2 linked regions of the Drosophila melanogaster genome follow. The protein of the gene in region 2 purifies or fractionates together with the protein of the main gene of each other region. This does not show direct contact. Each region holds a gene or a part of one and is shown on either strand. Other genes may lie near its edges.

Region 1 (4,999 bases), on a different chromosome or scaffold from region 2:
CGCGAATCGGTAGTGGATTGGTAATGGTCATCAAACATCATCAAAATTTGCAAAAAATGGTCAAAAAATTGAATTTGCATTTTTGAACACAGTTTGATTTGAAATTTTATTACGAGCTTAACGAGGTATGACATTCCATATTTGGACCATTATTTCGAATGTTCTTATCAAAATACTACAATATGGTTTATAAAAATCAGGGGCAATCAGAGAAAATTTGAATAATTTATTTTTATTACCTTAACAGAACTGTGCAATACTTAAAAATATAATTTATAGACATCCCCCTAATAATTAGATAGATATAAGTGACACTTGCCCGATCGATACTATCGCATCGCCCTAGCCGCTGGCAGTGCCATCGCTAGCAGTTCAGTCAACAATTTAAGTTTTTGTTTTTGTTGGCCAAAAACACAATACAATGTACACATTGATGCACGGCTTCTACAAATACATGACTCAGAAGGACGACTACTGCGTGGTAATCCTGGGCCTGGACAATGCTGGCAAAACGGTAGGCAGCTGAATCATCCAATGAAAGCCTCATGTCCAATCGGAAACTAACACCTGTGCCCACGTAGACTTACCTGGAGGCCGCCAAGACCACGTTTACGCGTAACTATAAGGGCCTCAATCCGAGCAAGATCACGACGACGGTGGGCCTCAACATCGGCACCATCGACGTGCAGGGCGTACGCCTCAACTTCTGGGATCTTGGTGGCCAGCAGGAGCTGCAATCTCTCTGGGATAAGTACTACCAGGAGTCGCATGGCGTCATCTACGTGATTGATTCCAACGACAGGGAGCGCATGGAAGAGTCCAAAGCGATATTTGGTAAGCGAAAACAGTCTTCGAACTAATCCCTTGAACAAAACTCGTTTTGATCTATTCTGATGATCTCTGGTAAAAGGAAAAAGGTTCACCTAAAATGTGTTATTCTCTTTCCCCACAGACAAGATGATCAAGAACGAACTGCTGTCCGGAGTGCCTTTGCTAATCCTGGCCAACAAACAGGATCTGCCGGATGTGATGGGCGTGCGGGAGATCAAGCCAGTTTTCCAGCAGGCGGGTGCTTTAATCGGGCGGCGAGATTGCCTCACCATTCCCGTATCCGCGCTGCACGGCGAGGGCGTGGACGAGGGCATTAAGTGGCTGGTGGAGGCCATCAAACGACATGCGGTGGTGCGGCCGCCGCGGGAAAACGATTAGAAGATCAAGCAGAAGACATCTGGGCCTGGTAGTCGGCCCTCCACTGGCTTTAATTAGACATGTACTTTTGTAAGTTAGGGGCTTAGGATAACGCTTATTTGTAATTAGCCAGACGAGATTGCGAGATACCAATTGTAAAGATGCGTTGTCATTATTTGCAAAGACCTTTCTTTTCGGTTAACTACTGCTGAGAAAATGAGGAAAACAATGTTAGAAAGCTGTGAGACTTCTGCATAGGACAACGAATTACAAATACTATTGTTAGAATAACAAAGAACGCAATGCTTATTAGCCAATTAAGTGCAAGAACTATAAATTCAGAAGTACTTGAAGATGTATTTGAAGAAGTACTTTGTTCTGTTAATAACCCAGATACATGGGTATTTGGATGCCAAAAATGTAATAAAACTGAATCCATTCGCAGCTGTTATGGTTAATCGTTAGCCACAAAGTGTGTGGGCGATTCGAGGTCCACCAAAATCGGGAGAGTCGCTTCTTTATCTAACAGCACTGCACTCGTAGTACACCTCGATATGGCGGTTGTCAATGGGGCTCCGCTTATCCGAACCGAACGACACCGAACCGCGGAAAGAAACAACCAGCAAACAGACGGGATTGTGGTGTTCTCACGGCGGGGGGAGCATTATTATTACCATTATCAGTCCGATAGATAAGTGCTGTGTGTGCCACCAAAAAGCAAAGGCGGAGGAAAATGAAAATGAACTAAAAACAACACCTGGTGAGTGGCACTGGAATCGTCAGTCTTCCGCAGGAGTTTCCACCGCTCGGACTGGAAATGATCGGCCGCCAGCAAGGGCTAGATAGCTAGACCTCGAGCCAGAGCTAGAGAAAAGAAGAGCGTTACCTGTTAATTATTAGTGTACATTAGATAAGGCCTATGTGAAGCACTCGCCGCTTATCGCTGCCATTCCCATACCCGAACGCGCTCCCGCTCCCATTCCATTCGGTTTAGTTCCGTGCTCCAGTGAGAAGCCACCATGTATCCGTATTACGAGCAGGACTGGAGCGTTCTGCCGCCGGAGAACAATCGCAGGTGAGATGAAATCCCGCCCGGTGCTCGTTCATACCCTTAAAGATTCGCCAGTCGATCTTTAGAAAATGAGACTTTTGAAAGTGTTTTTCAAAAATGACGTTATCGCAGTGTGACCGTCCATTGACCGCTCTGCATAGCGGTATTTTTTTTTTATTTGTGCTGTGGTGTGGCAAAAGAAAATCGTTGAATCACCCTGTGTAAATGCAATTTATTGTCCCCCTATTATCTCTTTTATTTTGGTAAAACTGCCCCTTCTCTACTGGCATTCCATGTGAGTTGTTGCGGTTCGAATGCAATGCCATGGAAATATAATTAAGTGCATCTTTTACTTTGATAAGGCAATCAAATTAACTGAACGAATATTAAACTCAAACTGTTACTTATCTCTCAGATAAACACAATTAATTTGTAATGATTTATGCCTCAGTCTTGATATTTTCCGTATAACTATTTGTTTGGTTGATAAATCATTGAATACCTACCCACTGTGCCATCAAATGCGCTAACGCCTATCAGCGCGAGGCGTTAATGCCTTTTGCGCACACTGCTTGTAAATATCGCGCTCTCGCTCGCACCCACTACCACTGTTGCGCTCATCATCAACATATTCTCGACGAAACATTTTTTTTTACTTGTTACGTTGATTTTGTGGCGTTTAAAATAGCGATTAACCAGCGCCAAGTTGGCCCAGCGAACATGTGCTAAAGCGTAAATGCAGTGCTAGAATAGGCATTTATTCAATTGCAGAATCATTCCAGTTAAAAGCGAAGGTGTGTGCGTGTACTTGCGACGACGGGCCGTGTGTGTTGAAATTTTTTTTTTAGTTTTTGTCGCGTTGTTAAATTTTATAGTTGAAAAAAGCTAACGTGTTTCCTGATTATTCATTAACAAAAAAAACGTAACGCCGCCAAGTGCGCGAATGCATCCAATTTGTTAAAACGGAAATGCCCGTTGAAAAGTGTGCCATAGATTTTCCTGCCCTTTTCTTGTTGGCCCAAAAGGCATGCATGAGTGTATATATGTGTGTGTGTGCGTGAGCAAGTGTGTGTAGGCCTTCCAGCGAATCGCATAAATTAGCAGGCGAAAAATCACATTGAAAACAAACGAGGAAAGCTCGCAAGAAAAAAACCCTACGTGTTAAATATATACTATAGGGTATATAGGAGTGACGTTATTTCATGACTTTTTAATGCAATCGATATGTATGTATGTATGTCAGTTATGCTATCGCTGGCAGCTGTTTTCGTTTTTTGCCCAGTTCACTTAATAAAATATTAAGTGGACATCAGTAAACAAGTTGGATTTTTCGGGCTTACTGCTTCTCCTTTTCCAATTGGAAACCCTTTGCGCGCGTATGAATGTCTCTATTAATGTGTGTGCGTGTGTGTGCATTAATCATTTAATCAATTTGCATTGCGCTCCAAACTAAAGTGAATAAAGCACAGTAATTTGTTGTTGCCTTGGCCAGAAAGAGAGATCAAACGTATTTGTTTGAGCCAACTCACACACACCCACACCCATGCACGCATCTGAGATGTCAGTTTCATAACAACAGCGATCTACTTTATGTCAGCGGTAATTGTACCTGCTTTTATTTAAACTATTCAGCTTATTTTTTCCAATTCCATTAGCTTGGAAAGAGAGCAAGCGAGAGAAGGATAGAGAGTAGGAGAGCAAGTGCAACAAAATAGCGGCCGGCTGTTATTCCCTGTGTGTGTGTGTGCGCGCGTGTGTGTGCGTTTGTGTGGGAGTGCAGGTGTGTGTGCGCGGAAGATCTGCAGAGGAAAAACCGTTATTTCGTTTCGCTAATTTGTGTTGTTGCCCCGCCGCAACAGCAACAAAAAGAAAACAGAAGAGCACATAAGCCGGCAAATAGTTAACAAAACCAGACGTAATAGAATATAATAATAATAACAAAAATATAAATAAAAATACGAACCAGTAAAAGAAGGAGCAAAAAAAAGGCTGCCACACAAGTGATTCAACGTTTCTCGTCGCCACAATGAACTCCGAGCATGGGTAGGATCCTAAACAGCAGTGCAAACATCCCTAGAATTATGCCCATATAAACCCATTTAACCTCTTCCTCCGGCAGATTTAATCCAGCCTTCAATATGGCCACCATACGGCAAGCATTCACAGAGGCGGTGGAGAGAGGTAAGTCCAAGACAGTGAACACCACTTGGTAGATTGCTCCAATAAGAAGATGATCGTGTGCTTGTGATCACCCAAAAGGTGGCTACAAGTACGCTGCACTCCTTATTCATTCAGATATATAGTTATAGTTCTATTAATGACCTGAAACGAAGGATACAGGCAGGGGTTAAGAGAGAAAGATCAGCGGCCAGACAGACAAAAACCCGATTAATTAACATATTCACATCCACTTCTCGCCCACAGTCAGAATGCCTACGCCCACACGCCTGCGCGACCTCATCCGACAGATTCGCGCCGCCAGAACCGCCGCCGAGGAGCGGGCGGTGGTCAACAAAGAGTGCGCCTACATACGGAGCACGTTCCGCGAGGAGGACTCCGTCTGGCGGTGAGTCATCTACACCCGGTTGCAATATACATATGTATATACTATATATATATATATATTCGCCCACAGCTGTCGCAACATTGCCAAGCTGCTGTACATACACATGCTCGGCTATCCGGCTCACTTTGGCCAACTGGAGTGCCTTAAGCTGACGGCCAGCACGCGGTTCACAGACAAGCGGATCGGCTACCTGG
Region 2 (3,905 bases):
CCCGAGTGCCATGCTTGGGTTCATTCTTCGCTTTGGCGGGATCCTGTTTATGGTTGCGAATCACCGTCACCGGTTGCTTGAAGATCGAGGCAGTCTGTCGAATGGGAGGCACCAGGGAGACATCAGTGCGCAGGGCTCGGCTGTAAGGGATTAAAGATTGGAAATGTATTAGAGAAACGCCTTCAAAAAGCTAAAACACCGAACAGCACATTAGACAAAGCGTAAAGTAAAGCTTTAGCATGCAGAGATGGTGGAACATAAATCTCAGGTGGCACAGAGCTACAGCGTTTTTGAAGACAACTACGAATTGTTTTGCCAATTGTGTGTTTCTTTGGGTATTTTTTCATTTGATGCTTTTTAATTGCCGCAGGCTGTAGACCTTGCGTCCTGGCAAACAAGACATGACACGCTGACATGCAAGAGTCAAGTGCTCATCCACTTGGCTCTACCTGAGTTCGATCTGTTGCTGCTGGCGATTGGCCGTTGATGGTGAAGCAGATGCTGCTGTCGCTGTTGCTGCTGACGAGGCGGTCGCTGCCGGAGGAGCAGCTCCTGCTGCTCCTGCAGCATTGCCTCCTTGACTCCGGGCGAACTTGCGCTTGAGGGCATTGGCCGCCGATCCGCTGGTGGCCCCATTACCGCCCCCGCTTGCTATAGGCAGCGGCATGGCGCTGCAGCGGTACAGCGAAATGGAGGGCGAGGGCAGGGCGCAGTGCGGCATTTTGCCAGGCTGGAAATCAGGGATTGCAATGTCCTGTGGCTTTCCCTCCGCCCTTTTTCCTGTGGGACTGCTGAACAGACACGGCGGTGGATGGATATTTTTGGTGGGTTAGGTGGTAGTTCGTGTGCGTGTGTATACATAGGCGTATGCGTGTGTGTGGTGTATATGGTGTGTGTGTGTGTGGTTATGCGGATGTAATAACAGAAAGGTAGTGAAAGTGATTATAAACGTTTATCCGATTAAACAGCGTGCAGTGTTCCGATTTTAGGTATATAGTAGTCTATATAGTAATTCTGCTCTTCTTCTTTACCTGTAGTAGAAAACATCCACCTTGTTATTGTTGTTGTTGCTGCTGGCTGTGGCACTGCTGTTGTTGTTGCTGCTGGCGTTGTTATTGGCGCTGCTGCCGGACTTTCGGACCTCGTCGCGCTGCCATCCCTTTGGCAGGACACTGCAGTCGACGCGTTTGCGCTCGATTGTGACGCTCGGGTTCATTTGCATGCTCGCCGAAATAAATAATTAACAATTCCACAAAAGCAGCGTCTGGGCTAGCAGTGTGGCCGTACTGCGGATGGCCACAAATGCCGGATGGCACAATAGTGATGCTAGATTACATTCTCCAATATATTTATGATTTGAATTTAAAGGTACCAATGGGAAAATGAAAATAATTTAAAAGGTATTTATTTAAAAACAGAAACCTTAAGATGTTACACCTTGCACATTTTTCATTTCCTTTAAGCTTAATTCGCTAGTTAATCAGCAGTAGACCAATCTCACCTGGCCACACTGCCCAACACCTGATGTGAACATTTCACAGCACTGGTGGGCCAACTAATAAGAAAAAGAAGCAGCAGAAAAGGCGACGTAAGAAATTCCGGAGTTTTCATTCGCATTTTCCAGTCTACGAAACGGAATATGTAAATCCAGCCCATTGATAGACCTAGCCCACTCATCGCCACCTCGCGACAGTTGCCAACTTCCACGCGCAACGCCTGCCGCGAGCAGTAGAACCATCGAAGCGACCTCCCACTCGATCCAATTGGGAATTTTACACCTGGGACAAGTGGCAGCTGCTGGGAACCAAGAGACATGTCTTCGTCGGCCATTTTCGTTCTGGACGTGAAGGGCAAGGTGCTGATATCGCGGAACTACCGCGGTGACAACATCGACATGGCCGTGATCGACAAATTCATGCCATTGCTGATGGAGCGCGAGGAGGAGGGCCTAATCACTCCGATCCTTCAGACGGCGGAGACTACATTTGCCTACATCAAAACGAACAATCTTTATATCGTATCCACGACGCCGCGCAATAAGAACGTTAATATCGCTCTGGTCTTCGTCTTTCTGCACAAGATCGCGCAGGTCTTTGTGGAATACTTCAAGGAGCTGGAGGAGGAGTCCATTCGGGACAATTTCGTGATCATCTACGAGCTGCTGGATGAATTGCTCGACTTTGGCTACCCGCAGACCACCGACTCGAAAATTCTACAGGAATACATTACGCAGGAGGGTCATAAGCTGGAGCTACAGCCCCGCATCCCGGTGGCCGTGACCAATGCAGTATCCTGGCGGTCCGAGGGCATTAAGTATCGCAAGAACGAGGTGTTCCTGGACGTTATCGAGTCGGTGAATCTTCTCGCAAACGCCAATGGCAATGTGCTGCGCAGCGAGATCGTGGGCGCCATTAAGATGCGCGTCTACTTGTCGGGAATGCCAGAGCTGCGACTGGGTCTCAACGACAAGGTTCTGTTCGAGAGCACGGGCCGCGGCAAGTCAAAGTCCGTAGAGCTGGAGGACGTCAAGTTCCACCAGTGCGTGCGGTTGTCACGCTTCGAGAATGACCGGACAATCTCGTTCATTCCTCCGGACGGCGAGTTCGAACTGATGTCCTATCGTCTGAACACGCATGTGAGTATTTTTATGTACTTAGCACCAAAATGCAAGACTAACTAAACCCCTGTTGACAGGTCAAACCCCTGATTTGGATCGAATCAGTGATCGAGCGGCATGCCCACTCCCGTGTGGAGTACATGATTAAGGCGAAGTCTCAGTTCAAGCGAAGATCGACGGCCAACAACGTGGAAATCGTCATACCAGTGCCCGCCGACGCGGACTCACCCAAGTTCAAGACCACCATTGGAAGCTGCAAGTACGCACCGGAGCAGAACGCAATCATCTGGACGATCAAATCGTTCCCGGGTGGCAAGGAGTATCTAATGCGGGCACATTTCGGTCTGCCGAGCGTGGAAAGCGAGGACAATACGGAGGGCAAGCCGCCAATTCAGGTGCGCTTCGAGATTCCCTACTTTACCACGTCGGGCATCCAGGTGCGCTATCTGAAGATCATCGAGAAGAGCGGCTATCAGGCGCTGCCATGGGTGCGGTACATCACGCAGAACGGCGACTATCAGCTACGCACCAATTGAAAGGGGCAACTCCCGTTCCTGCATCATTCCAGCCAAGCTTCAGCGAGTCATCCTGCAACAGGTAGCTTCATCTCCACCCGCGTTTTTGTCTGCGATGCGTTGCGTTAAGTCAAAAGTATATATTTGTATTCGTATTGTTTCAGTATATGTATATTGTATGTAAATCAAATTTAATAAATTTTAACACCTTTTCATAACACCTGCACCAGAGTGGGTCACTTTGTATGTGCAAATTAAGACCTAGGATGCAACCAAGTTTATCCTCTTCGTTGGTCAGAGAAAACCCAAAAACCCAAAGTGTCTAATTTCACATATCCACCGACCCACCTGTACAGATGAGTCATAACAAACGGGTTGAACCCACAAAAAACTGTTTGCCTATTGCTTAATCATAATAAATGCACTTTCGATCGAGTCTCTCGGTTCGTTTTGATTTCTGATTTGTTAGCATCTTTATGGCACCTATCTGGAATCTATTTCTCAAAGTCCTTCAAGGGATAGTGCTCCTTGTGGGCCTCGATATGTTTTTCCAGCTCGCTACGCTGCTCAATCAAATGATCCGGCATCTCCGCGTAGACGCCTTCGAACATCTCACGCCAGTTGGGCTTGAGTTTCTTCTCGGACACTGCGATCTGCTTCAAAACCTTTTTCCTTATGTCCTTGACATATTCGTTTTCGACAGTCTCGTCAAACCAGCCTTTGTGCACCATGTAGCGCTTAAGCTTGGATATTGGGTGCTCCACCGAGTTCCA

Evidence for each region. The genes of interacting proteins can lie anywhere in the genome.
Region 1: the proteins of AP-1mu (region 2) and AP-1gamma purify together in Drosophila melanogaster (affinity purification with western blotting, with the first as the bait; one study listed by BioGRID). This does not show direct contact.

What each region holds. Positions count from the first base shown.
Region 1 is NC_004354.4:9,106,724-9,111,722, forward strand, and holds the start of AP-1gamma (adaptor protein complex 1, gamma subunit), read left to right. Parts: upstream 1-1,967; 5' UTR 1,968-2,207; coding exon 2,208-2,263; intron 2,264-2,826; exon of another isoform or gene 2,827-3,264; intron 3,265-3,894; exon of another isoform or gene 3,895-4,265; coding exon of another isoform or gene 4,266-4,282; intron 4,283-4,358; coding exon 4,359-4,420; intron 4,421-4,663; coding exon 4,664-4,805; intron 4,806-4,874; coding exon 4,875-4,999. Other genes in the region: Arfrp1 (ADP-ribosylation factor related protein 1), read left to right, coding at 422-514, 582-834, 953-1,209.
Region 2 is NT_033777.3:9,557,158-9,561,062, reverse strand, and holds AP-1mu (adaptor protein complex 1, mu subunit), read left to right. Parts: upstream 1-1,537; 5' UTR 1,538-1,813; coding exon 1,814-2,635; intron 2,636-2,694; coding exon 2,695-3,153; 3' UTR 3,154-3,351; downstream 3,352-3,905. Other genes in the region: MBD-like (Methyl-CpG binding domain protein-like), read right to left, coding at 1-140, 450-791, 1,032-1,222; BckdhA (branched chain keto acid dehydrogenase E1 subunit alpha), read right to left, coding at 3,627-3,905.